Stegostoma tigrinum: one gene and its partners. The protein of the gene in region 4 interacts with the protein of the main gene of each other region in a pairwise test. Links are inferred from orthologs where the notes say so. Each region holds a gene or a part of one and is shown on either strand. Other genes may lie near its edges. The genes, in order: protein PALS1-like, protein PALS2-like, mpp2b and lin7a.

Region 1 (6,926 bases), on a different chromosome or scaffold from region 4:
ATTAGTGGCCTCAAGTTACAAATTGGGATTGTAGAAGCTCCAATATCCTGTTCCACACATGGCTGACCCGGAATTTCTCCCTGATACTCACATTGTTTGGCCACATTGTGAACATGACTCCATTGACCACCTAGTCCTGAATGAGGGATAAACCCAGTGCTTCCAGCTCTGAGGCAGGATAACTAATCACTGCATCATTGACACCTCCCCACATGTTGCTATGGAATAAGAAGAATCAAATAATGCATCTTGTAAGATGTATTAAATACAACTATTTATATTCATTTTAAAGCAAGGAGAATTAAATGTTAGAACATAGAACATAACAGCACAGTACAGGCCCTTTGGCCCTCGATGTTGTGCCAACCTGTCATACCGATCTCAAACCCATCTAACCTACACTATTCCATGTACGTCCATATGCTTGTCCAAATGTTGTCAAATGTTTTCAGAACAATGAATGATGTTTAAATGGGCAAGGTGCTATTTCACAGTTTTATATCTGGAATAATCCTAGATTCAAGTTAGACTAGCTTCAGAACAAAATACTCTCCACACAAAGGCTTTGTATATTCCCAACACAAATGGAAGTTGCTGGAAAAACTCAGCAAGCCTGGCAGCATCTGTGAAGAGAAAATCAGAGTTAATGTTTTGGATCCAATCACCCTTCCTCAGAAGGTTCACCAGATTTGAAACATTAACTCTGATTTTCTCTTCACAGATGTTGCCAGACCTGCTGAGCTCTTCCAGCAACTTGTCCCTGATTTACAGCATCTGCAGTTCTTTTGGTTTTTATTTTGAATATTCCCAAATATTTATTAGGTTTGAAATAATAATAAATTAATTCTGTTTGAATTGATTTATTTCATTTTGAGTATCAATGAAGATCTGACCCATATTTTGGAAGCAGAAACTTTAGTAGTGAAAGAAAACTTCAGAGATGCCCAAAGTTTCAGATGAGGCAAACCAAATCCTCCAAAAACACTCAATTTTATATAAAAACAGAATAGTTATATTCTGTTATTATAGGCATGCTGGATAAAATAAACATTGTCTTCTTGTTTACAACAACAGGACTTTTATAAAAGCAAAAATACTGTAGTGCTGGAAAACAGATAAAAACAGAAAGTGCTGGAGAAACTTAGTGGGTCTGGCAGGATCTGTAGAGAGAGAAAGAGAGTTCATATTTTGAGTTCAGTTTGACTCTTCTTTAGACTTTTATTTGGTATTTGTGTTTCCCAGGTATTTTCCTGTGTGACTGTTTTTGGCATCCTGCTAAACTCAGTGAGAATTTGAGGTGAGGTGCATGAGAGCTGATGTGGGATGGGTGTGTCGGGATGGGGTTAAGGCATCACAACATATGCATCTAATTTAAAATTGCTTTTTAAAAGCCTCACATTTAATTCAGTGGTATTCCATGGGCTCTATTTTACTTCCTTAATTCATAATTTAGTGAGGAAATGGAGGATGGTTAGATGAAAATTAAACGTGTGATAACTTGAGCACAAGTATCGTAGGCTGGTGGTAATATAGTGTTTTTAATATAGCACGTTTACTCAATACATATTTTGAATATTAACATTATAATAGTTATAATAGCCTACGTTAAGAACAACTATCGATTTTAAATCTTTGCAATTTACAATTGTCTTACTTGATAAACATGCTAAATTTTGTCTGTGTCCTTGGTTGGTAAAAATTCGATTCGGAGAAGGGCAGATTTCCATAATCCGGGTAAAATGCGAATTATCTTTAGAAGTGGACTCTTTCTGAAGGGTCTAGGTCCGAAACGTCAACCTTCCTGCTCCTCTGATGCTGCTTGGCCAGCTGTGTTCATCCAGCTCTACACCTCGTTATCTTTTCACAAAACCAGTTGGGCAGGGAATTGTGGCGCTACGGCCCCTATCTCTGGGCCAGAATATGCCGCTTCGAGGGCCACCTGCTCCAGAACAGGTTGATTAAAGATATCTGTCAAACTGTTTATCGGGGAGCAGAAAACACGTAACTGCAAAGGAAGGGAGACTGCGCGGTGGAAAAGACAGTTGGACTCGCTTAAATTATTTTTTTTCTTATTCTTATGAATGGCGCTCTCAAGGTACCCACTTTTCACTGTAGTTTTACACCGAATACACGTGACAATAAATGATTCAATGATTCAAGACAAAACTTGTTACCCATCGTTCGAGACTGTGTGACAGACCTTGCACAAATCTTCGTCGCTAGTCTTAAATACAGTCCATCAAACCGGTGATAGCAGAGAACAGTTAAAGAAAGTAGGGTTATACCTTCAACTACACACACGGAAAATTGGATATTAGAATTTGGTCTTAATGCTTGTTATGCCCCCGAGATGCGTATAATTTTCACGTATCTTTGAAGATATCACGCTTACATGCATCTTCACAGGAACGGATTCTGTGTCCATGAAAAACGACAGGATAGTAACAACTTTTCACTCGCCAAGCGTGCGATCCACAATGTTTTTTTTTCTAAATCTCCAAAATCAGGGAGCTATTTAACAACCTAAGTCAACTTCGTCTATAAAATTTCACACGCCGATTCATAAACTCGCCAATAGCCTGTGCATTCTACAGCATTTTGGACTCGCTTTCATTTTTTAAAAGTTCGTCAAGGCCTACAATTAGCAGCGTCATTAGCTTATCGGAAGATGTAGCCAAACACTCAGAACCAGGGCGGGGGAAGTGGATTGTGACAAGTAATGTGGTTGGTAGGCACCAAACTGAAAACAGATGGGCGTGTATCACAACATTGCGCGATAGCGGGAGGGCAGCAAATCATTTACCCAAATCAGCTCATTGCACTAATTGCAGCAGAGTCTGGAAACTTGGCTGTATTTGAGGCAGATATTGATTCTGAGAATATTTTGTTGATACGAAACCTCCACCTCAGTTGTTTGCAATAATATTTGCCTTTGGTATTCAAGACACGGTGAAGTTATTTGTGGGAATGTTGGAATTAGTTTGTTCTCCCTGACGTCAACGCAAAATGTTGCGGATGCTGGAAATCTGAAATAAAAACAGAAAGTGTTCGAGTTCCCGAAGTAAACGGGACTCGAAACATTCACGTCCCTACAGCCAGATCCGAGTTTCTTCAGCATTTCATATCCTGAGTTTAGCCTTTCTGAGATAACAAGGTGTGGAGCTGCATGAATACAGCAGGCCAAGCAGCATGTTTAGCCTTTCTGATATGACTATCGACCAAGAGCAGCCCAAGCACTCTTGTCTTTCGCAGACGTCCCGCTGAAGTTGACCGTGTTCGGTATTAAGGTCGGGCATGGCATTTTTGTTCAGGCCTCAAACTGAGGCAACCTGTGATCTTTCCAGGGATACTTGGAATTGAGAATTGACACTAGTTTCTGTTTTTTTTCTTGCACCATGTAGCGATTCACCAGTGGAGGGGGATGGGGTGGAAATAAAGGAGTCGCCCGGCAAGACCGCGAAATAGTTTCAGAAAAGTGTTGAGAAGGCTGGCTCCAGTCCCAGGAAGGGATAAGCGGAGGTGCTGGGGTAGATCTGCTTTGCTTCAAGTCTGCAAGAAGACTGCGACAGTCAGGTGTTGTGATTTCCAAAGCTCCCTGAACTAACCCGATCCGATCGAGCCCCTCCTCCTCCTTTCTCCCCTCCGCCGCTGGGATCGCATTGCAAAATAAAACATTCCTGGCGCAGCTCGGGCTTTCACCTTTGTCTCCAGTGAGTGCGCGCGCGCGGCCGGGCTTAAGTTGGAGCAGGCATGCGCGCGCGCGGCCGGGCCTAAGTTGGAGCAGGCATGCGCGCGCATCCATTTCTCCCACACCCACCTCCACTTTCCCTTCACCCGAAACTCAACGAGCTTGTACCTCCCTCTTCCGAAGGGGGCGAGGTTGAGGAGCCCTCGCGAGCGACTGCGCGCACACGCACGGGTCGCGTCCTCAGCCAGGCACAGAGTCCGTTTATTTTTACTCCTCCCTACCCCCGCCCTCCCCCAAGAAAGAACGCACCGCTCGCGGCCGGAGGCAGTTGGAATCCTCCATTCGAGGTGAGGAGGTGTCGAACAAAACAAATCCAACAACCACCCCCGGCAAACACACAGAGTAAGGGGGCTCCGATCGTGAAGCTCCTTCGCTCACAGCCGAGTGTCTGATCTCAGACACCGGCATCAAGCCCGGCTCTCTTTCTCCGTCAACAGGTTAGTGGGTATCAACCGCCAGAAGGAGCTTTCGGCCGTTTTATTCACCCCCCGCCAAGGCGCAAGTTTGTATCGAGAGGAGCCTTTCACTTGGCTTGGGAGTCCGGCCTAGTTTGGGAAAGAGGTGAGAATCGGGTTGGCAAAGGAGAAGAAAAGGCAGGCGGCACGGGGTGGTGGAGGGAGGAAGAGTCGGGCTGGAAAAAAAGTTACTAGGAAATGTTTTTAGCATAAGGTCGAGTCCACGTAGCCTTCTCCCTCTGGTGCCGAAGGAACTCGTCTCAGAGGAAAGAAAAGGCAGGCTATTTTAGCTCTGTATTACTGGGTTTTGGGTGTGTTGGATTCTCCTTTATTTGTCACCGCCCGAGCCTTCGCATCTAATTTACATCCTCCCCGGCAAAGAAGGGAAACTAATTCCCATCTCTGGCCTCTAACCTTCTCAGTTAGGTCCAGCCGTCATGAAATTTTAACCAAGTCTTGTTTTCTAAACAAGTGTAGACAAAAACGAAGTTTGGCATTGTTGCGCGGTGGGATTGTTGGAATATCCTGGGTAGTTGCAGTTGTGGTGGAGATGGGCAGAGTGGTGCTTCTGGATGTTGTGCTGGTTCACAAGGTTAGACTGAAAATAATTCACAGCAGCGTCAATGCTGCATGATTTCGCCAGAATTAAAATGCAGTAATTCCACAAGAGATGTCCTTCCAGTTTAGAAACTCCAATTCAGCTTTCGGCAATTGGGTGCCCGGGGCGGGTGCTTTCGGTGTGAAGGTGGGTTGGGTGCGGAATAGAAACTTTGCTGGACGAGGGAAAAGAAGGGCAATTTAAAGTTAGTTGGATAGCTATAGTTTTAAACATTAAAATGAAACTCGGAAAGGACACCTCATGGACTAATTTACGATTCAAAATACCACTGATAACAAAGCCAAATGTGAAAAGCGTAACGATAAACTTAGAAACTAACAGGGACAAGGAGAAAATAAGCGTAAGTCAACGGTCTTTTATGACTATCATAAACAATGACAGGACGATCAAAGGCAGGATTTGGCGATTGAGGACCAGAAAGATCGACTTGAACTGGCAGAGAGCACGACTAAGGCAATTTACAAGTATTTGCATCTGTTTGTTAAAAATAAGAGACTGTGGTTTTAGAATCAAAATATATAAAAAGACGTATTTAAAAGCAAGCAGTTCTCGAAAAAAGAACAGCTACATCGTCCAGATGGGATGCCTGCCATATTATTGACCGAGGTACAGGTGGAAATTACAAACGCTGTAGTCGTAATCTCTCAATTTTGTATGCTGTGGGGCACTACCAAAGGATTTAACATGTTTAAAGTGGGATAAAGCAGCAATTATGGGCTAATTAGGTTAGCATCAAAAGAAGCTTTTAGCACCAATAATCTGGACAAAATTAAGTGATGTTTGGATCAATATTGAGTAATCATTTGAAGTCTGGATTTGTTAAAGCAGGTTATGTTTGACTTATTTGTCAAGTTCTTCACAGTAAAAGACTATTGTGATGATGAACATGATTGTGTGTGTTTTCAGAAATTCCTTGTTACTGAATTGATAGACCACGGGGTTTGGGGAAATCTGGCAACATGGATATAAAGTTTAAGTGAAGAAAGTAAACAGTAGTGGTTAATGGAGTAGTAACAAAGTTGGAAATACTCAGTGGATCCTGCAGCATCTTTATAAAGAGAAACTGTTAATGTTTCAGGTCAATGACTTTTCCTCATTAAAGATGAATGCTGTTTCAGGCTGGAGGGATGTACGCATTAGGATCACTGATCTTTTTGCTATTGATTAGCCTAGATTTGGTACAGCAGATATAATTTTAAAGTTTGTGTTGTACAGAGCTTGGAAATGTAGTAATTAATGAGGCGAGAAACAAGACTTCAAGGTGACTGAAGTGCACTAGCAAATGATTGATGACCTATAAATTAAGAGAAGTTTGAAATGATATGTTTTACAATCAATGATGACAGGCCAGATGAACTAAAATGTGCACATGTTAAAATTGGTATAGGAATGTATACAAATTGCTACAGGTCGTAGGATGAGATGCCAAGGCTTTATTTGATGGTGAGTTGTTGTGATCCAGAATGTTTTCTGAAGTGATAATAGAAACAGAATCGTAAATTTGAAAGTGAATTGAATAAACACTCAAAGGAAAATAATTACAAGACTGTGGGGTGTGACATTAACTGGACAGTTCTACCAAAGAGCCAGGCACTGACCTGATTCAGTCATTCTATAACTTATGGTCTGACAATGGATTTTGAGATTGAATGAAACTGGTACTTTTTTTCCCCCCTAAGTATATAACTTAGAGTTTGAATAAGAGAGATGCATCTTAGAATGAAATTTATTTTGAAACTCCTAAGTTTCTTCAAAGTTTAAGATGTAAGTTTATTTTTACTTTTCCATGTGATCTATTTTGTGCTATTTGTACTGACAATGCAGTTTTGTGTCTGCAGTTACAATACTACTGCTAGGAATTAGCTGTGTGAGTTGAGACAATGGTGATGAGCTGGCTTTGCAAAACAGAAGTTCATTATGGAATTTAAGGTGAAGTTGAACAGCAGCACTTAATTGGAGTTGTTGGATTCTTGGAACCATGTGCTATGGCTCATTCAGCTATTTGAATTACTATTTATTTCACTGTAACTATTGTAATAATACTGTGTTAGGTATGTGCTGATCCAGCACGTGAACTTAAGATCAAGTTTTCAGTTAGGGAAAA
Region 2 (7,005 bases), on a different chromosome or scaffold from region 4:
AAATCATTAATAGTGTGCCAATTTGTTTGGATTTTGGGATGGCTGGTTGAAATAGTTCAATAACAAGGCTCCACTGGACTGACCTAAAATCTGTTGTGGATTCATTGACACTTTGTCTAAGATCAACATCATCTGCTTTGGGACTTCCCACAGAGAAGAAAGTACTGATCTGGAGCTTTTGTTGCTTTGAATGGAGATTTGAGTCTGTTCTGTACCTTTGGAACTTTTTCTTCTGTAACGCCCATCTATATACTTGCTTTGGTCATTTGACAGCAATGAAGGGCACTGCAAGGTGCAGGGACTGCTTAGCTGATGCAACACAGCTGTCACATTGCAGTATATCACACTTCAAGTATTTTAAGAATTTAAAATATTTAGGCTTTCTTCTCAAATCTCTTGCCTCGTAATTCTTCAAAGAAAAAATTCATGTCCCCACTACTGTCACCATATTTTAGTATAGATTTGTCTGATCTGATAATCTCTGGCCAAATCTCAAGATGTTTCTTCAAACAGTATTTATTAACATGGTATTCATGGTGATCTTTCAGTAGAAATCCTATCTCCAATATACTCTAAATTTAAATCTGCAATTTCATCCGTGTCTGCGTTTATTTTCATAATTCTTAATAATTTTGCCTAACGAATGAAAATTGATCTGTTTTAGTTCCAAGCTTTTCAATTAACTGATAACATCAACAACTTCTCAGAGCAGAATTCAAGATTTCACTATTGTTTGTGTGAAAATCAGCTTTCAGACATTACCACAAATAATGTAGCTCTACTTTTAAGGCAATGTCCATTTATTCTGAACTTTCCACCAGAGGAAATAATTTCTCTCTGTCTACACTATCAAATCTTTTAATCATCTTAAACATCCGAATTAGATCAGGCCTTAATCTTCGATATTCAGAGGAATAAAAGCTTAGGCTCTGCAACCTGTTCTCATAATGTAACCCTTTCAGCCCTGGTATCACTCTGGTGAATCCACACTGTAACCCCTCCAAGGCTTCTGATATGCAACACCCAAAACTGAACACAGTTCTCCAGGCAACGTCCAGCCAGAGCTCTAAACAGCTATAATTCTCCCCTTTTTGCAATCCAGTCTTCTCAAACTAAAGGCTAATATTCCATTCATTTTGAAAAGTTTTTTTTGTGCCCTGTAATTCACTCCAAACTGACCTAATATTCTATTTTGTCATCTATCAGGCATTGGGATCCCAATAAATGATTCGCTATGTAGGAGTACCTCTAATTTCTTTGGGAATTGGAAACGAAAATCTGAGGTTGCGTGCAACAGTCACGATCTGCCTGAGTCCACATTTGATATTAACCTAGAAAGATATAGCGTTCTGTGTATTATTTGAACTCGTTGCTACTCAAATTCTGGCTGCATTTCAGTGTTTTTTGGCTATCCAGAGTAACGTGAAACAGGCATTACAGAGGATCTTCTTGCAGAGATTTCCAGATCATTGATACAATGGTCACATTGATATAGATACAAGTCCAAGCAGCCGTAGGTCCAAGGGGCCAATCAGCCTGACAGTCCATCTTTTCCTTGGCCATATCCATGAAGAATGATCATGCAGTGTATGTTTGAAGCCTGTTATGATCATTGAGTACAAAAGACACAGGAATTCAGAATCAACAGCAGGAACAATACTTTAATTTGGTGAGTTTCCTTTTGTTTCATTCATAATGTTGCTTCAGAACAGGGGAAAGATTTAAATTTGCTATCTTGATTTCTTTTGCCATCCTTTCAAGCATTTCACGTGGATGAGAAGCTGAGAACATAAGAAATAGGAGTGGGAGTAGGCCATCTGGCCCATTGAGCCTTCTCTGTCATTCAATAAGATCATTCCTGTTCTGTTTGTGGATTCAGTTCCATTAACCTGCCCACTCACCATAACCCTTAATTACTTTACTGTTCAAAAATCTATTTTTCCCTTAAAAACACTTCAACAAAGTAGCCTCAACTGCATCACTGGGCAGGAAATTCCACTGATTCACAACTATTTGTGTGAAGAAGTTCTCCTCAACTCAGTCCTAAATCTGCTCCCCCTTATTTTGAGGCTTTGTCCCCTGGTTCCAGTTTCACTCACCGGGGGAAACATCCTCCCTACTTCTATCTTACCTATTTCCTTCATATTTTTAACATTTCTGTAAGATTCCCTCCTCATTCTTCTAAATTCCAATAAGCATAGTCCCAGTCTACTCATTATTTCCTCATAAGCCAACACTCTCAATTCTGGAATCAACCTAGTAAACCTCTTCTGCAACCCCTGCACTGCTAGTACATCCTTTCTCAAGTGAGACCAAAACTGCAGACAGTACTCCTGGCACGGTCTCTCCAGCATCCTATACAGCTGCAGCATAACATCTTTGTTTTAAACTCCATCCCCCTTGCAATGAAGGAAAACATTTCATTTGCCTTCATTACCTGCTACACCTGCAAATCAACCTTTTGTGATTCATGCAAAAGGACACCCAGGTGAAAGTTTTCACCATTTATTTAATAGTCCACTTTGTTGTTATTCCTACCACAACAGATGACTTCACGAGCACCTAATTATCTTTGATCTTTCCACTCTAAAGGGAAAGCAATGCAATAAATGATTGGAAATGCTGTTGGATGCCTTTTGAGGACTTGATTGGTGGAAAGGATGAGTCAAAAGGGCAAATATTTAGGATAGGTTATAATGTATTGCTATAAAGTTAACAAAATTTATTATTAATCATGGAGCACTTGTAAAACAGCGATTGTGTCCCAATTTCTAAGCCAGGCAGCCTGAGTTCAAGTACAATCTGTTCCTGAAGTGTGTAATATAATCACTGAACAACTTGACTAAACAATATGTTATTGATCATGCAACTATTAAAACTCTTGAAACTCAATTAGGTAAATCTTGGAATGAGAAAAAAAGTGCTGAAAAGTTCTGACTGTATCAGGAAAAGAAGCCAGAGTTAATGTTGAGTCGGACATAGCTCTTAACTTCTGAAGAATTGTGCGTTTTAGAACATTAATTGTTTCGTAGGCTTGCAGACCAGGAGGGTAGTTTCAGTATTTTATTTTTATTGCAGATTCTCAACTTCTGCAGTATTTTGCTTTTATTTCAGATAAACATTCCTCTTCTTCGCCTAGCAATTCCGACGTAATCTGTAACTTTGTCAAAGATCATTTTAAACTAAATTAGTTCAAAGGGAACACACTATTACAGTAATGGGCAGATTGCTTCAGTACAATGGCAACCTTCGTGGGGTTGGGTCATTACTAGATGCCCTATTAAGTTCTGCCTAAAAGGGGCAGCTTCCTTTCCTTTAGAATTTCAAAGAATTAACCCCATTCAGCTCGTTTTCCAAAAGGTATCAGTTGGAAGTCAGGTTAAGGAGTGACCCTCTGGAAAATCAGTTTTGTTCTTGTTGTTATGCAAGAGTTAGACTGCAAAGGCAAAAAAATTGAGAAGCCAACCAAATACGAGAAAAGTGGCTATATCAAAGCTGAGCAGACCCGAAACATGTAGTCTATTTCGTTCTTTTCACAGATATTTCTGAAATCAGCCCGAGCCGTTCCCAGAAAGAAAACCCTGCGAGCGAGGCTCCACTACAACAAGAAGCCGTTCCACTGAGAAGTGGATGGGCATGGCTCGGACTCCAAGCCTAGGTTCACCAGTGGAGCGCGCGCGTACACACCGTCCATCACTCGCTGTCCGGGCCGCCTGCATGGCGCATGCGGCCTGTGTTCCTCACCTCCCCTCCCATCCCGCGCGGAGGAGGGGGGGGGGTGGGGGAGGCAGCACGTGACCCTTTGGTCCACCTCCTCCTCCTCGCCATCTTCTGTCAAAGCGAAGTTTCGGCTTCCGAGTGGAATTCTGCCGCCCGCCGTGTTCCGCTCGTGGAAGGCGCGAGCCTCCCATTGGAACGCGCCGATTGTCTCATTCGTTCGGCCCCCAGCTCCTGCGTTGTATTGGTGCGCGCGCGCTCTCTGTGGAAGGAGAGGGAGGGAGATCGAGAAGGGGAGCTGCTTGTAGCCAGATACAGGTTTGTGCTTTTTACACTTGTGTGGAACCAACCACCCCCTCACCTTCATTTAATGTTGCTTTTATTTTTCTTTGCTGTATTGACAAGAGGATTTTTACACAAAGTAAATAATGGTAAGTGAAGTAAGGTGGTTTGACTGACTGTGAAAGTTAGTAGCGCACCTCCAGGGTAATGTCTGCTGCTCCGAATTGTGATTCGGCCGAATGTGTTCTAATTGCTTTATACCTTTTTGTGATCGCCTTGCACGGTTACGTGCAGTGCACAGTTAGCAATACTCGTCCGTCACTAGGGTAGTGGAGGGAGTGTGTGCGGCAATTCTTAGGCGCGCTTCTTCATTGAGGAAATGGATTGCGCTGCATCTCTGAACATCATCCGTGAGGGTTGGGAATGGACACACGTGTAAAATCCAAGCTAATGTTAATTTGTGAGTTGCCTGCTTTTATACTTCCTATAATATCATACGAAGTGCTTAGGCCTTGTCTTTCTATGTATTTAGTGTGCATTTCTGATTTCGCAGCACGAGTATTTGGTCATGTATTCAAAAAATGATCCAAGCACACTTTGGTTGTTTTACCAGGTGACCATATGTAGTAAAATTGCTTTCTGATGAAGGGCATTTTGCAAATTTTACTGTTGAGGTGAGGTTTCTGTGTATTGAAAAAAAACATATTTCACGAATTCGGAAGAAGTGTTACTATTTTGTTCGTAATTGTGTTGAATGATGTTCCTGCCCCGTTGTACACAACAGAATGTCGAGAAGAAAATTCGCAAAATCCTTGCAGTAGGCATTTTGAACTTGAACTTGCTAATTAGGTTATATTGGTGATCAAATTTACATAAAAGTGAAATTACTCCCTCAAACCGAGATATTCCCACCTGTCCAATCCCAGAGCACTCTCTTGCACTTAAACTTATTTTATCTTGTGGCTTGCCCTGTTTGAATTTTATGGACCAAAGTTGTTTGAAAAGATTGTTTTTAACATTGTAACATTTTTTCCTCTGTAAATGGGGAAATGTCCAAGGCCTTGTCTGAACATGTATTTTGACCTCTTATTGACACTTCTGTAGAATAGATAGAACTGGAACCTGGGTCCGCTGGTCCATTGTTAGGGGCTCTAATGCTGTGCAACAAGAGCTGTCCAAAATCGATGTAGACTACATCAAATGAGCTACCTTAATGACCGTTCCTTGTTAACTTACTCAAAAAAAGCAATCAAATTTGTCAGGTTGACCTTAGCATCAGTGCTTAACTGATGTTGGTTAATCTGTACCTTCAAAGTGATGACTAATATTGTCCATCATTTTTGTAGTAACTTTCTTACCACTTAAGCTTGGCTGACTGGCCTATGCAATTATGTACTTTCTCTCTTTATAAACAAAAAGAGGCTGTAGTCTTACCAGGCCAGAGGCTGCTCTGTCTTTAGCAAGAGAGGTGACTGGTGGTGGTTTAACCTGAGGGTCACTACACCTCAGGTGAGGGCAGAGGTTGAGAAGGAGAGTCCATCATAGCAACCTCAGTCTGTGCCGGTATTGAAACTGTTAGCAGCATCACTGTGCATTGCAAACCTGCTGTCTAGCCAACTGAGCTTTGTAAACAATGATATAGCATGAGCAGCTGCCAAACCTGTGCCACCAAATGAAATGGTTACTTTTTGACCCCTCTGTTCTAATATTTTCCTTTTAACATTCTTGTTCTTTATTTATAAAATCATTTTGGGTCACACTATTACTTCCCACTCTCTCTGTGGCTTTTCTTTCTTTCTTTCCTAATTTTGTTTTTACCTGCCTCTACTTTCTTTATATCTGGGCTCATCTATACTACTAGGCTTCTGCAATTTTTGGGTTTTTGTCTGACATCTTGATATTCAAGTTTGAGTCAAAGAACAATAACAAAGTGGAAGTATGTTCTATTGAGTGCCACTTAACTGCACAAGACAAATGCACACACAACATCCAACTTGAGTGTAAGAACAGACAGGCTCAGAAGCAGTGAGGACATTTAATTTTTAACACTCCCTTTTTGAATGGCATGGAGCTAGAAAGAGGTGCACCTGTGATTCTTTACTTGTTGTAATAATAGATTGCATTCTGAGCTCTTTGTCTGATTAAAGGCAGATTGGCCGTATTCAGATCTTTGCCATTACTTTCTTTAGTGAACTGCTGAAAGTGTGCAAGAGTGATATTCCTGATTGGAGAAAACTCAATGTGCACATTTTAAAGCACTACAGCCTTTTCCTGGCAGTTATTGACTTGACATAGTAATGATTAAGGATTGAGAGGGGTAGGGCATGAAAATGAACTGTGTATCACTACATTCTTTAATGCTTCTAAATAAAATATTACCAAACCAGTTTAGGGTTCTTTTTTGCAAATATCAAGTCCAAGGGAGAAAATGGTATTAATAAACTGAAAGAATTGCATGTTAAATTATTTGAGATTTGATTTTCTTTTGAAATCATACAGAGTTGTTGAATCCCCATTTGTGGCAAATTGATGCTTTTTTTTTAAGAACGACACAGTACTGACTTGTGTTAAAGTTACAGCCAATGGACATGTGTGGTTGTCACTCACTAGGCATTGATTTGTTATCCATCCCTAACTGGGTGTGAAAGAATCAACCACATTATGTTAGTTAGAAGTCACGTTTTGTCATTTCACAATTTTTGTTTATCAGAATAAAGTTCCGTTGTTGGATTTCTAGTGACCTGTAAGCTGAAAAGTCACTTGCTAAATGATACAAGAAAAAAATTCATTGTTTGATATCTACTGTGCTCAAATTATCACTAGGAGCTTGTAAATGACAACATATTTAGATATGCAGATATGTAAAGCAGTGAAATCAACTTGATTTTGGAGAAAATTGCTCCTGAAATTTTTTTGGTGCCTCTAGAATGACAGGATGTGATCTGAACGTCTTGATGTTGTTGAGCTGGATGTGTCAGTTTTAGGAAAACTGTTGAGGGGCATGAG
Region 3 (7,496 bases), on a different chromosome or scaffold from region 4:
AATATGATAGTATTCCTGATGGCAGAAGGCTCAAGACCCAAAAGACACTGAATAAAAATGTTAGGTGTAAAAGCAACAATGGCATGAGGAAGATCCTGTTTACACTGAGTACTTAGGAACAAGATGCTCCTGAGATGCTGCTTGGCCTGCTGTGTTCATCCAGCTTCACACTTTGTTATCTTGGATTCTCCAGCATCTGCAGTTCCCATTATCACTGCCTGAAACTATGTTGGAAGCAGGTTCATTTGAGACTTTCAAATTATCTTTTCTAATTATCTGAAGGTAAGAAATTTGAGGGCTATGTGGAGGGTGGAGGATGGAAATAGTAGGAGAGTGGGACTATATGAGTTACTGTTGCAGAGGACTAATATAGGCATGAGAGGACTGAATGTCCTCTTACTGTTTTGTGACTAAATGCCATTATTTTAAAAAAACAAAACCCATAGAAGACCAAGTAGAGAATAAGAACAAATGTGAAAACACCAATAATCTACAAATCATGTTTGCAGATAGCTTGAGGATACATTTGCTGGGTAGAGGTGGGCTTTCTGATGCAATGGAAAATAATTTGTTGAGTTGCTATATTTTAGTTGTTGTGGATAAAATAAATTAATAGAATGTGAAATAGATAAAGTGTAGAAAATAAAATGAATATAACTGAGAAAACTAAGGCATATGTTACATTTTTTTGTAGTATGGCTTAAAAGGGCAATGTAAGTTAAAATAAATAGCAGTCAATATGCATAAATTGGAATTTGCATATATAGTGTATGTAGAATTTTTATAAAGCAAATATTTTCCTCTATATGAATCTTTGTATGAGCTATTTTCTAGATGGATGTAATGACATTTTATCATTTTATATTTGTGGCCATCAGTTGCTTTTGGTTGAAAAGCTGCTCTGTATTTGTGCAAGTACGGAGGTGGGAAATTATTTATGTGGGTTTCTTTTTAATGGGAATAAGCTGTGTTGGAGTTGGATGCATGAGAGCCAGTGAGAGAAGATGGGCAATTGAAGGTTGAAAAACCAGAGGTAAAGACATTAGGGAAGGAATGAATGGAAAGAATAGGCTTTCACAGAGGGTAATGGTGGCAGTGAGTGGTTGAACTTTGGATGGGTAGAGATGAAACATAGGGGGAAAAATAACTAGTGAAAGGAAAGTTGCAGGTTTACAGCACAGAATGTGATGACTTTGCCTGTTATGTGCATGCCAACCAAAAATGTAAATAAAAACTGAAAGAGCGACAGATGCTGTAAATCAGAAACAAAAACAGAAGTTGCTGGACCAGCGCGGCAGGTCTGGCAGCATCTGTGAAGAGAAATCGGAGTTAATGTTTCGGGCCCAGTGCCCTTTCCTCAGAACTGATGGTAGCTAGGAAAGTGACAGTTTATATGCAGAATATAGAGTTGGGGGAGGTTTTCAGGAGTGATAGTTGGGGTTAGAGCCCAAAGAGAGAGAACAACAGTTGGACAGACAAAGGACTGCATAACAATCTGCCTGGGAGGGTGAATAGCTGTTAATGGAGGCATTTAGGGTAGCAATAGGTAGTGTGTAATGGCAGGCTATAAGATAAGAAGGCCTGCCGCAAAGACCGTTCCCTTTGGGACACCCTAGTCCACTCTTCCTTCACTCCCAACATCCTACCCCCCACCCGCCACCACCCACAGCCCCACGGTACCTTCCCCTGCAACTGGCTAAGGTGTAACACCTGCCCATTTGCCTCCTCCCTCCCCAGTATCCACAGGCCCAAACATACCTTTCAGGTGAAGCAGTGCTTTACCTGTACTTCTCACAATCTAGTCGACTGCATTCGCTGCTTACAATGTGATCTCCTCTACACTGGGAAAACAAAAAGCAGACTGGGTGACCACTTCACAGACCATCAATGTTCTGCCCGCCAAAAATATCCTGAGCTTCCAGTTTTCTGCCACTTTAACATACCATCCTGTTTTCTGGCCAACATCTCTATCTCAGGCTTACTGTAGTGTTCCAGTGAAGCTCAGCGCAAGCTGGAAGAGCAGCAGCTCATTTTCTATTTGAGGACCCTGCAGCCCTCCAGACTCAATATCAAGCTCAATAATCTTAGGGCCTAAACTATCCCATGTCCTAGCCCCTCACCCCATACACCAGGCCTTGTTATCACATCATCTGCCATTACATATATCTATTCTTACCCACTAACTGTCCCCTTCGCAAGCTGTTCTCCTTTAGGTTGGTATCCACCTAAGCCCACATTCCAGCTTATGCTCCATTGCCTTGTGACTTTTGGCACTTCAAATACATGTCAAAGTGCTTTAAAAAAGAATGTCCTTCCCGTAGATTGGCAATGGACAGTGAGTGGTATCCATGGCATTAAGTTCCAGACCTGAAGCATCCTCTGAAAAGAATCCCTCTCAAATTCTTCCATAGCTCTTAGTATTTACCTTCAAACTATGCCCTTAGTTCTGAAACACTCAACCAAGGAAAACATCGACCTGTTTTATCCCATAATTTTGTGAGTCCTCACATAACTTTATACATGATTAGGTCTCCCCTCAGGCTCCAGTTTCAAAGAAAACAATACGAGCCTATCCAATAGTTCCTTGGAGCAAAAACCCTCCAGTTCAAGAAACAGTCTATAATTCTCATCCAAACCCTACCTGATGCAAACCCATCTTCCCTATAGTGCAATGACCAAAATGTAAGAAAGAAAATAATGATATTTACACACTGGAAAATTAAGTCCTAAGGTCTAGGAGAATGGAAGAATCCTTTTAGTTGTGCGGGAACCCATTAAGCACATAGGGATTGTTTCTAAGGCATGGAAGGATTATGTACAGGCATCATATAACATGTTAGTGTGAGGTGACATCCTGATATCTGGATGGTGGTGATGGAAGGAGATTATTAATGTGGCAGTGATTGGAAGATGGCGTAAAGATATTGGGAATGGAGGGATCCAGGAATGATAGAGTGTTTTGATGATTTTAAAGCAACTGAGGGTCACAATTCTGGGAAATTTGGAATATATATTTAATAAAGTCAAGGTTTATAGGGCAGTATTGTAGTTCCCAATTTTTACAATTGGTGAGAAGGAAGCTGAGAGATTGAGAGTACAAGGAGAAACATGCTAATGTCCAGGTACATTGAGATGTTAGTTTCACTGTCTGGGAATAATGGGAGGTATTTCTCAGGGAGAGGTTGGTAAGGGAAAGCAGTGCAGGAGGATTAAGAAAGCAGGTTTTAAGGTTCTGGAAGACAGTAGAGAAGAAACTTGAGGTGTAGGAGTGTTGGACAGCTTAAAGGTACCTACATTGAAGAGGCTGTGATGAGACAGTATGAAGACAGTGTGAATGTATTGAAGAAGTGGCCCAGGCGAATGTGAGTCAAACCTCTTAAAGGGCCATTAGCTGTTGTGGTACTGTTGAACCCAATGGGACACAGTGTCATACATAGATCCTAATATATGTCACATTTGTGTCCCATCAGTGAGCTGCTTGTTTGAGATTTGCACAAATGACAAAACAAGTACTTTCTCTATTTGTCATAAAATGTTTCAAACAGAATAGCTGCTGTCCTCCCCAATATTTTACAAAGTTAATTGTTAATCATCATGAAGTTCTGAGAATGACAGGAGGTCAATAATGTACATCTAATTATCATTTGGGCCCCAAGCAAAGGCAGGACCATGAGGATTTTCCTCATTAACCTCATACCAGAGATTATATTTAGACATACTTTTTGCAATTTTGAGATTTATTTCTCTCCAAATGTTTTGCCTTTTATAATATTTTGCATCATCATATTTCTTGAAGTCTTTTTACTTTGTTAAGCCACTAAAGGTATTTATCCCACAGACCATCAAAAAATTTCTTCTCATGTGGTTTTTAATCAATGAGGGGAATAGTCAATTAATTTCTGCCATACCAATAACAAGCAGGAAAATCTGATGCCCTTTTCCATTAAGCTGTTTGGGATATCAGGAACATGGTGAAATTGAGAGGGAGGGAGAAATTTAATGATCTGAACCGATTACTAGCTGAAACTGATAGAAGGGGAGAAAAAGTAGGAAAGGATAAACAGCCAACCTTTTCATGGGAAGGAACAAAAACAACTTTTCTAGCTGCCTAAAAGTGACTAAGAAGTTACATTTCATTCATGGATAAATAATGACGTGGCTTTAGTCCAAGAAGCTTTTGGGCTTTAACTTGTACTATCTCAGGTTGAAAGAAGTCAACATTGTGGTGTTCAGGCCCTGTCAGAGCTCATGTGCAGGAATTAAAATAAAATACATATGATTGGTACTCTAAGGGTTACTTAAGTTACTGAAGAAAGAACACAATTCATAGTCTATCAAATTACTCTGGGTGGCATGCTGCAGGGAAGGAACCTGTGTAACAAGTATACAATAGAAGCGAAAGTGGTTTGTCTCAACTGCATCAACTATCAGCATTGCTTCCCATTTGTGGAATTGGGTCAGTTAGAGTTTGTGTGTGTGTACAAAGGCAGGGTTTGGAGTACGGACCTGGTCAGAAACCACCGACGGGGACCTTAAGCACGGCAAGCTGTTTGCTCATTCAAACGTAAAACGTATCGGACTCTCCTCTCATTGATGAACTCTGCAAGAGCTGGTTAGCATGTAGTGTGCTTGACGTGCTAAAGTAGAAAAGGGGCCAGGGTTCCTGTGTAGGCAGCAGAGGCACAAAAGCATTGTACAGCTTAATTAAAGCCCAGCATGGATAATAGTCAGTCACACACAACCTCATTAGAAGTGGATTCTTCAGCATCATTTGAAACAAACAGGTCAAACCAGAGTGACGGAGGTAAGATTTGTCTAAGAAATGAGTGATTTAGATCACAATTATGATTAGACTTTTTGCTGTAATGACAATGTAGTTTTTGTTTGCAAATATGTGGTATCAGTAAGGCTCATACATTACTTTCAATGTGCAGCACTCATTTAATTCTTCAGCGTGTTATGTAAAACAATAAAGCAGAAATGGAAGCTTTGTTCTGAGTGTCTATGCATATTTTGTTGGATTTACTTGAACAATTATCCCTCGGTTTTTTTCTACACTTTGCTATTTATTGCTGATTTTTAGATGATAAACAGAGCAGTATTAGTACAGGAAAAGCAAAGAATACTTGGAAAAATACTGTTTGAGATAATTCTGTTTAATTACAGAATCTGTTATCATATGTGGGTACGGGGATAGGCTGATGCTAACTTGTCATGACATTATTACAAAGAATTGAGAGTGTAAAATATTTTACCTTTTAATGTTCATGTCATCGCAGAAAGCTTTGGAGGAGCCAAGTGACACATATCCCATGAGTGAACAGAGACTGAATTTCAATCAGTTTGCTGCTATCTGAGCATTAATTAAATATGAACTAACTGTTTGAGTTACCCTTTCTGAGACCAAAATCATTTCTAGGTGCAGCTTGTTGATTTTATTTTTCTGTAACATGTTTTGCAGAATTACAGCATTGAGTGCAAATTCATTTGTTCTGTAATCTGGAAATTGCTATCTTTAAAAGCTAGTTAGACCATTTGCAACCATCTTTAGCCAGAAATGCTGAATGGATGATCCATCTCTGCCACCTCTTGATGCCCTCAGCATCACAGAAACCTGACTTCAACCAAACTGATTCCATTCACCTATTATCAAGAAACTACTGAACCCACTGAATTCTGCGAAGGCTACGTATGGGCCCTAACAGCTACACAGCTGAGCTGTTGAGGGTGTGTACCAGAGAATGAGCCAAGTCTGTAGTCTGTAGGTTGTTCCAGTACTGCCACCCACAAAATGAATATTACCAACATTCCCATGGGGACAAGAAGTCTGACAAAGCCAATCCAATTAATTACTACCCCATCAGAGTTAATAGGGTGAAACTGTCCCTGCTTGCAACAGGATCGAGAACCAGAGGGCACAGCTTTATTGTTTCCAATTTTACAACAGCCTTTCAGAAACACCCTCAGTTAAGTGCTATGTCACATTTGGCATTCAGTTCATTTGACCAAGCCCAAGATCTAGGGTCAGTGGTCCTAGGTGGCTTCAAACCAAGCAACAGTGATCACCAATTCTTGGTGAATTTGTGTCAGTTCGAAGTCACATGACATGAGGTTATAGCCCAACAGGTTTATTTGAAATTACAAGCTTTCGGAGCATTGCTCCTTCATCAGGTGAAATGGAGGAAGTGCACAGGCACAGAATATATAGGCAGAGAGATAGTGGCAAGATAATTCCAGGTAATTAAGAGTGTCAACAGATAGGCACAAATTGTGTGAGTAGTGTGTCAACAGACTGAATAGCAAGTCTTTGCAGGTGCACCATGTTATTCTGTGTTTATAAAAATCTTCCTTACTGTTCTGTTTTGACACCACCATCTTGATAACTTATTATTATCTCTCTACCTTAATTAGTTTGTACAGTTTTGGCTTACTTGTTACTTTGATTAGACCCTCGTCATGCAACTCTGATAGCCATCATGTTATTCCAGCCATTTGATCTGTCTCTAGCACCATCTTATTTTTGATATTTTGTAGTTATCTCTCTGCCTTAATTAATCACTTCATAGGTGATCCCTTCACTTACTATTCAGCTGTGTATTTGTGTCATTTTGACACTTTTGATCCCCTGCAAAGACTTGTTGTTCAGCCTGTTGACACTCCACTCACACTACTTGTACCTATCTGTTGATACACTTAAATACCTGGAATTATTTGTCATTATCTCTCTGCCTATATGTTTTTTACCTGCGCACTTCCTTCTACTTCACCTGATGAGGAGCAGCGCTCCAAAAGCTTACGATTTCACATAAACCTGTTGGATTATAACCTGATGTCATATGACTTCTAACTTTGTCCACCGCAGTCCAGGATATATGAGGAGCCTCGCAGTGAGTGGAGTCCAGAATTGGCATGGTGAGGGTAGAGAAGGCAAGTGGCTGGGTGCATGGGATGTAGGGGTGCAGGGGTTCAAGGCTAGATGGCCTAAAATCTCCCTCACCTCTTCAGGTCCTACTAGCATCTGTTTCCAGGATTAGGAAGCTTACTTTCATTCCATACGCACCACCTCCATTCCCAAAAGTCTTGAACTTCCAGACCATTTTTACCAAGACAAGTTGGTAACTGCCTGCCTCTCCAACCAAAATCCAATGCTATGTTATGTAAACAGATCAATTTACATTTGGAGCTCCTTTGAGAAGGCTTTGTGTTGTCAGATATAAAGATCAAAATGAGCAAACTCTGTTCAACTGGCAAGCTCTCAAGTTTGGAGGAGCTGAGAGCTATTTCATGATCTTCCAGTTGGATGAATTTAAGTGAATCATCAAAGGAAAGACAACTTGCCTTTTCACAAAGTTTATACTGAGCCAGGTTTGCAAGGTTTCTATGGACTATAAGCAAGTACTTACTGATTCTGAACGTAGCAATAAGTGTTACTCTGATCACTGAGATATAGCATGATAAATTATTTTCCAGCATGCTTACAATTTTACAATGTGTAT
Region 4 (6,928 bases):
CACCACAATTCCAGGCAGTGTATTCCAGTCCTGACCCACTCATTGTGCGCAAAAGGTTTTCTCTCATTACATTCATTCACTGCCAGATCTGGCTGGGCCATATAAACCACCATCATCTATTGCAGAGTGCAAAGATAAACCACAACTTCTTTGTTCTTCCACAAACAAACTTGTGAAAGCCCTATTTCTTCCAGTCTTACCCATGTGTATGTGGAATTTGCGGACTTCCTTGTCACTGAAATTAAGTTAATCTGCTACTGCCAATCCTTCCCCAGCCCATCTGACGAAACTCCGTCAAATGTCCCCCTCCCAAATTTGAATCTGTTTTTAGTTTCTTATCAATTTGCTTCTCCTCCACTTACTCACATGAAGCTCTTCTTCCCTCAACCCTACTTCCAGTAAATTGTAACCCATCTCAAATTCTTTACTCATGTTAGCTGACATTGTTAAATGATTCTCTTTCTTTTAGTTCATCTCCCAAATGTGCACATCTCTTCCAGAACTTCATGTTTAAATTCCTCAAATCAATTCTTCCCAGCAGTGTGCCAATATTACTCCTATCAAAGTCACAAATATCATCATGCAGGTCTGAGACAAAAGTAAAATATCCCTCATTCTTCTCCACTTCTCTGCAAACTCAGGCATAGTTGACTACAAATCCTTTCCAATGCCTCTCTAAAGTCATCAAGATGGTTGGGTCTGCACTCAACTGCTTTCATTCCTATCTGTCTAGTTATTGACAGAGAATCATTTACAATGGCTTGTCTTTGAGCTCCAGGATGTTAGGCATCCCAAGATCAATCTTTGGCCCTTGTTTCATCTCTATATCCTGTCTTTTGGCAACATTACACAAAAGCATTGCCAGTTTCCACATACCTCCTGTGACTTTATCAACTTGCTCAATTGTTGCATTTTCTCGTCACTAATAGACTGCTTGAATGACATCCAGAAATGGATGAGGAAAAATTTCCTCCCATTAAGTACTTACAAAACTGAATCAATTATGTCTCCACCAAAAATTCTGCTCCTTTGTCATCCTCATTCTTCTTCCTCCCGATTGCCCAAACTCAACTTTAACAACTGCATGTTTGGCACTTAGGGGCTTCACATCACTATAACTGCCTATTTCCACCTCAGTAAAATCATTGGATTCTGAACATACTGCCCCTTCTCTGCTGTTGAGGCCATCATTTGTAGAGTCATAGATATGTAAGTCATGAGAACAGATCCCTCATTTCAACTCCTCCATGCTGACCAGATATTCTAAATTAACCTAATGCCATCTGCTAGCATTTGCCCATATCCCTTGTGTGTTTGTCACACCTAGTCTTCACTACTCTATTGTACTCTTGACTGGCTTCCTACGTTCTACCCTCTAAACTTGATTCTATCAAAATATCTTCTGCCCACATTCTTAGTTGCACCAAGTACCATTTGTCCAAAAACTGTCCTTGGTGACTTGCACCGGCTCTTGGCTAACTGGCACCTTGAAATTATTGTTTTCCCCTTGTTTCTAAATTATTTCATGTCATAATCCCTCCCTCCCACTTTGATTTCCTTGAGTCCCATAATGGTCCAACATATCCACATTTCACTAATTCTGGCCTCTTCAAGCTTTGCCAAATTTAAATGCTCCACCATTGATGTCTGCCTTGAGTTGCTGAGGTACCAAAAGCTGGAATTCCTTGTCCACAAGTCTCCAACTGCATCAGGTCCTTCCTTAAAATCTACCTTTTGAGGAAACTTTTGGTCATTTAATCTAATGTCTATGAAAAGAAACAAACATCGGTGGATCCACTTGAAACTTTTACTTCACAATGTTCCTGTTGTAGTGCAAAATTGTATTAACGTGAAGTGTTACATGAACAAGTCATTACTGTTAGTTGTAACTAGTTATGAGCGCCAGGGCTCTCAGTTTGAGACTAATCTAAAATAGCAACTTCAAAGAGCGTGCAAATCAGATGAACTCTTTTCATTTCATCTCTAATTAAAGTCTGATGGTTATTTGTTCTCGTTCCTGAATTGCTATTTCAAATATGCCCTAATCCATCTCGTTGATACACGCAGCCGACCCTTGCAACTACACACTCCTCCTTACACGCAACAGAAAGTGTTACATATAACAAGCAGCTCCGCGAAATATTTAATCGCAGCTTAAATATTAAAACCTTGATTTTAACAACTGAACGTGGCAGGGATATGATTTCGCAACAGAACTGTCTAGGGCGCATTTAGAGAGAAAGCCGATGCCTCCCAGCCCTCTGATTTTCACTGTCGGTCCAGTTATCAAACAAACCGACTGCAAGATAATTTCCTAAAGACGACTTCGTCCTCCATCAGCCGCAATCTCTTCAAGTCCGGAGGGAGGAGAGGAGAAGGGCGAAGAATATATTCCCTTTGATCTGTTTCTTTTCAAGTCTTGCAGACAGCAAACGGAAATTGCCGTTAAAAGAAAATGTCTTGCTAAATGTAATCTATCAGTGGCTTCTGCGCGTTTAACACATTCAGTGGAAAAAAAAATTGCTCCCCAGCATCAGTAAATCTGTCTCCAAACCGTCACTGTGGTCCATCAACGCTACAGGGAACATAAATACTCAAAAGTAAAGACCAATCACACTTCAAGCCACAAAAGCCTTCCAAACTACAATTTTATTTTGTCACAGATTGAGGAAACACTCGGGAGGATTGTGCAGATAAATTACGACTGTTCCCTTACCTCTTTCCAGCGTAAGCGGCTGCAATGTTGTCGCCATGTCTGCAACAGCTTCAGAAAAGGAGGCGTGAGATGGCAGGCAGTGTGAGAAAGGGAGCACTGGCTGGAATGATGCGGCTCACACTGCAGCCACGAGGGGCACAGAGAGAGAGAGAGAGACAAACAGCGTTCATCAGCCACACACACACATCCAACCTCCAATGCACCTCACTCAGGCTGGATTGTACGAGGCACGTACCATTACTAAGTAGCAATGGAAGTGCGAAAGACCTGAGACGCGCTGTTCAGTATCAGCCATTACCACTTCAACATTACCCGGAAGATTAGAAATTTGCAGCAGCAGAGACAAGTTCAGATGTTCAACGAAAAGCACAGCTGGCCGGACAGCATCCGAGGAGCAGGAAAGTTCGGTCCGAAATGTTGCCTTTCCCGCTCTTCGGATGCTGTCTGACTACTGAGCTTTCTCAGCTCCACATTTACTGACGCTTGCTTCCAGCATCTGCCGTCTTTACTGTCCTCAAGTTCAGATATTCAAATCAGTTCAAAATTTGAAGTTTGTGGCAGAATTGAGAGACTGAAGAACTAAAGTATCTGAAATACTAATTTCCAGATATTAAATTTAGTGAATTTACCAAAAGGTCTCCCCTTCATCTGCAATAAATAAAGGCAAATGTCTTAATAAAACAAAACGTCTAGTAGGGGAAAAAAGGAATGACTACTTTCTTAGAGATGAGGGCTTTAAGCATGAGATGTCCACTCAACGCTGAAGAACGCAGATACCATTCCCCTAGGCCAACGAAGATCCTTATTCAATTGGTTAATGCAGTTCTCCAAGGCAACATCAGCACTGATTTTAAGGATTATTATTTAATAATATTGCGTCTTGGCAACAAATTGGTAGGTCTGCCACATAGTTGTTTAAAGCTGCAGTGCAAATTGCTTAGGCACTTTAGTGGGCAGAATCGAACTTATCTAAACTTAGTTTTATAAAATATAGGGGAAGATCTTTCAATCATGGCCATCAAAAACAAAGTTGCTGGAAAAGCTCAGCAGGTCTGGCAGCATCTGTGAAGAAAAAAAAAGAGTTAATGCTTCTGGTCCGGTGACCCTTCTCTGGTGGGAGGTTCTGAGGAATGGTCACCGAACCTGAAACTTTAACTCTGCGTTTTCCTTCACAGATGCTGCCAGACCTACTGAGCTTTTCCAGCAACTTTGTTTTTGATCCTGATTTACAGCATCTACAGTTCTTTCGGTTTTTATTTCAATCATGGCCAGTATGTCTCTCAGCACTATTCTCCTGCCTGCTCCCTGTAATTGTTGATTCCCTTGCTGATCACAAACCTATCCGTCTCTGTCATAAATAAACTCATGTATTGACTTATGTTTAAAGTTTGCCATTTATACACCACCTTTCATGACCGCTGAACATCCCAAAGTGATTTGCTGTGAATGAAATACTTCTGAACTGTAATTGCTGATTGGAAACAGCAGATTTCTGTTTGTCAGGGTTTACAGTGTACATTGTGATAACAACCAGGTAACTTACCTTTGTGATGGTCACTAAGGAACAGACATTGGCCTGAACACCATGGATAACTCCTTGCTCCACAAAATAATGCCATTGTTAAGATATTTGATTTCCAACTGGGAAAGGGCTTGTTTAATCTCTAATCTGAGAGAGGCATGTTCAACAGTGCAGAACTTTCTGGGACTTCACTGGAATGTCAGCCTACATTTTTGTACTCAAGTCCAGGAGTGCAAATTCAAACCACATTTTATCGCCCAATGTAATGTAATGTAACCAATCAAATCAAGGGGAGGCAATGGCCAGTGGTATTATCACTGGAGTGTTAATCCAAAGACCCAGATAATGTTTTGGGGGCCCAAATCCTATCATGGTAGATAGTGGAATTCAAATTCACTAGATATCTGGAATTAAGAACTAATGAAGACCATGAATCCATTGTTGGTTGTTGGGAAAAATCCATCTAGTTTGCCAACATCCTTTAGGGAAGGAAATTGCCATCCTTACCTGGCCTACATGTGACTCCAGACTCACAGCAACAGGGTTGACTTTTAACTGCCCCCTGGGCAATTAGGGGTTGGCAATAAATGCTGCCTAACCAGTGTTGTCCTTGTTCTGTGAATGAATAAAGAATAAAAGTATGGCATTATCACATAATTTCATATCCATCTGTCCCATTAAATCTTCCTTAAATTCTTTCAATCTTCTTTCCAATCTGCCCATCCATTTTCAAGACTAATGGTTAAAGCCATGAGCTTACTGAATGTTAAGGTTGAGTTTAGGACTCACAGAATACCCTAAAAAGCTAATCAAGATTAAGCAAAGGGTTAAATCAAATCCATAATGTAATTAAGACAACAAAATGTGAGGCTGGATGAACACAGCAGGCCAAGCAGCATCCCAGGAGCACAAAAGCCGACGCTTCGGGCCCAGACCCTTCATGAAGGGTCTGGGCCCGAAGCGTCGGCTTTTGTGCTCCTGGGATGCTGCTTGGCCTGCTGTGTTCATCCAGCCTCACATTTTGTTGTCTTGGAATCTCCAGCATCTGCAGTTCCCATTATCCATAATGTAATTAGTCAGGGAAAACACACAGACAGGAGACAGCAATTCATTGGTTGTAGAGGGCAAACAGGTTGATGAAGCTACTCCCTGAGACTGCAGGTAGCAGCTTCTCTCCTCTTTTTGAACTAAGAATTACAGTGTGAAATAGCTCTTCTTTTGGTCTTTCTCCATCTGAACAAACCCAATTGTCAGGCAAGATGCACACTTTATCCCTCTGCACCTAATATATATTTCACAAGGCCACTTCCTTGAATTAGATAGAGGTAATGGTAGGTGTCTTTTCCCTAAGGTGGGGGGTTTCAAGACTAGGGGACACATTTTTAAGGTGAGAGGAGAGAGATTTAAGACCATAAGACCATAAAACCTAGGAGTGGAAGTAAGGCCACTCGGCCCATCAAGTCCACTCCGCCATTTAAATCATAGCTGATGGGCATTTCAACTCCACTTCCCTGCACTCTTTAAAAAAGACATGAGATGTAAATTTTTTACATGGACGATGGTTCACATGTGGAATGAACTTCCAGAAGAAGTGATGAATGTGGGCTCAATTACAATGTGGGACTGCACTTTCTCACCCCCAAACTGAATTTTTAATTCGATCATACTATGGTCACCAATCCCTAGGGGGATCCTTAACTATCATATCATCAATTAATCTCTCCTCAATTCACAACACCAAATATGGAGTAGCCTGCTCCCTGGTTAGTTCCACAACATGCTGCTCAAAGAAACAATCTCTAATACATTCTATGAACTCTGCCTCCATGCAACCTTTGCCAATTTGATTCTTCCAATCTATGTGTATGTTAAAATCACCCATGATTATTGCCATACCTTTCTTACAAGCCTCTAATATTTCCTGATTTATACTGTGCCCCACTGCTGAAACATTGTTTGGAGTCCTATAGATTACTCCTACCAAGTAGTTCTTCCCTTTGCTATTTCTTATTTCAATGCAGACTGATTCCACATCTTGATGTCCCGTGCTTATGTTATTTCTCATTATAGCTCTGATCCTTCCTTCACCATCAAAGCTACACCACCTCCTTTTCCTTTCAGCCTATCCCACTGAAATGTTGAGTACTCTGAATTCCTAGACCTGGTCTCCTTGTAACCATGTCTCAGTAACTGTAACCAAATTGTACCCTTTTGCTTCTATTTGTGCCATTAACTCGTTAATTTTGTTTCAAACGCTTTGTGCATTTAGATACAAAGTTTTTAAATTTGTTCTACTGTGAAATTTCCTTAATCTTTTATAAATTCTTGGTGCATAAAGACAATCACCTATTCTGTCCCATACCTTTATTATCTGGTAACCATCCGCCACATTGCTAACCTGCACTCTTACCTCCTCCTTTAATTTGTGTTTTCTAATTTCCCCTACAACTGAGCTCCCCGCCCCCCCACCCCCGGCTTAATTTAAAGCCCTGTCAATAGCCCTAGTTATGCAATTGACTAGGACTCTGGTCCCAGCGTAATTTGGGTAAAGACCGGCCCATCGGAACAGGTCCCTTCTTCTTTAGTATTGGTGGCAATGTCCCATGAATTCAAACCCATTTCTCCCACACCAATCTTTAAGCCACACATTCACCTGCTTAATCATATTGGCCTTGTGCCAATTAGCTCGT

What was found.
Region 1: the proteins of lin7a (region 4) and protein PALS1-like interact in binary tests that used the Homo sapiens proteins (3 or more experiments, as listed by UniProt). The two-hybrid records come from large-scale screens. The link is inferred for Stegostoma tigrinum from reciprocal best matches to the Homo sapiens genes LIN7A and PALS1.
Region 2: the proteins of lin7a (region 4) and protein PALS2-like interact in binary tests that used the Homo sapiens proteins (3 or more experiments, as listed by UniProt). The link is inferred for Stegostoma tigrinum from reciprocal best matches to the Homo sapiens genes LIN7A and PALS2.
Region 3: the proteins of lin7a (region 4) and mpp2b interact in binary tests that used the Homo sapiens proteins (3 or more experiments, as listed by UniProt). The two-hybrid records come from large-scale screens. The link is inferred for Stegostoma tigrinum from reciprocal best matches to the Homo sapiens genes LIN7A and MPP2.

Annotation. Positions count from the first base shown.
Region 1 is NC_081363.1:69,480,046-69,486,971, reverse strand, and holds the start of protein PALS1-like, read left to right. Parts: upstream 1-3,909; 5' UTR 3,910-4,185; exon of another isoform or gene 4,186-4,309; intron 4,310-6,926. UniProt on the Homo sapiens protein: Plays a role in tight junction biogenesis and in the establishment of cell polarity in epithelial cells.
Region 2 is NC_081355.1:77,026,198-77,033,202, forward strand, and holds the start of protein PALS2-like, read left to right. Parts: upstream 1-3,987; 5' UTR 3,988-4,035; intron 4,036-4,127; exon of another isoform or gene 4,128-4,148; intron 4,149-4,347; exon of another isoform or gene 4,348-4,459; intron 4,460-7,005.
Region 3 is NC_081384.1:19,032,683-19,040,178, reverse strand, and holds the start of mpp2b (MAGUK p55 subfamily member 2b), read left to right. Parts: upstream 1-4,481; 5' UTR 4,482-4,716; coding exon 4,717-4,804; intron 4,805-7,496. UniProt on the Homo sapiens protein: Postsynaptic MAGUK scaffold protein that links CADM1 cell adhesion molecules to core components of the postsynaptic density. In CA1 pyramidal neurons, required for synaptic KCNN2-containing channel function and long-term potentiation expression.
Region 4 is NC_081371.1:40,158,680-40,165,607, forward strand, and holds the start of lin7a (protein lin-7 homolog A), read right to left. Parts: upstream 3,003-6,928; 5' UTR 2,754-3,002; coding exon 2,717-2,753; intron 1-2,716. UniProt on the Homo sapiens protein: Plays a role in establishing and maintaining the asymmetric distribution of channels and receptors at the plasma membrane of polarized cells.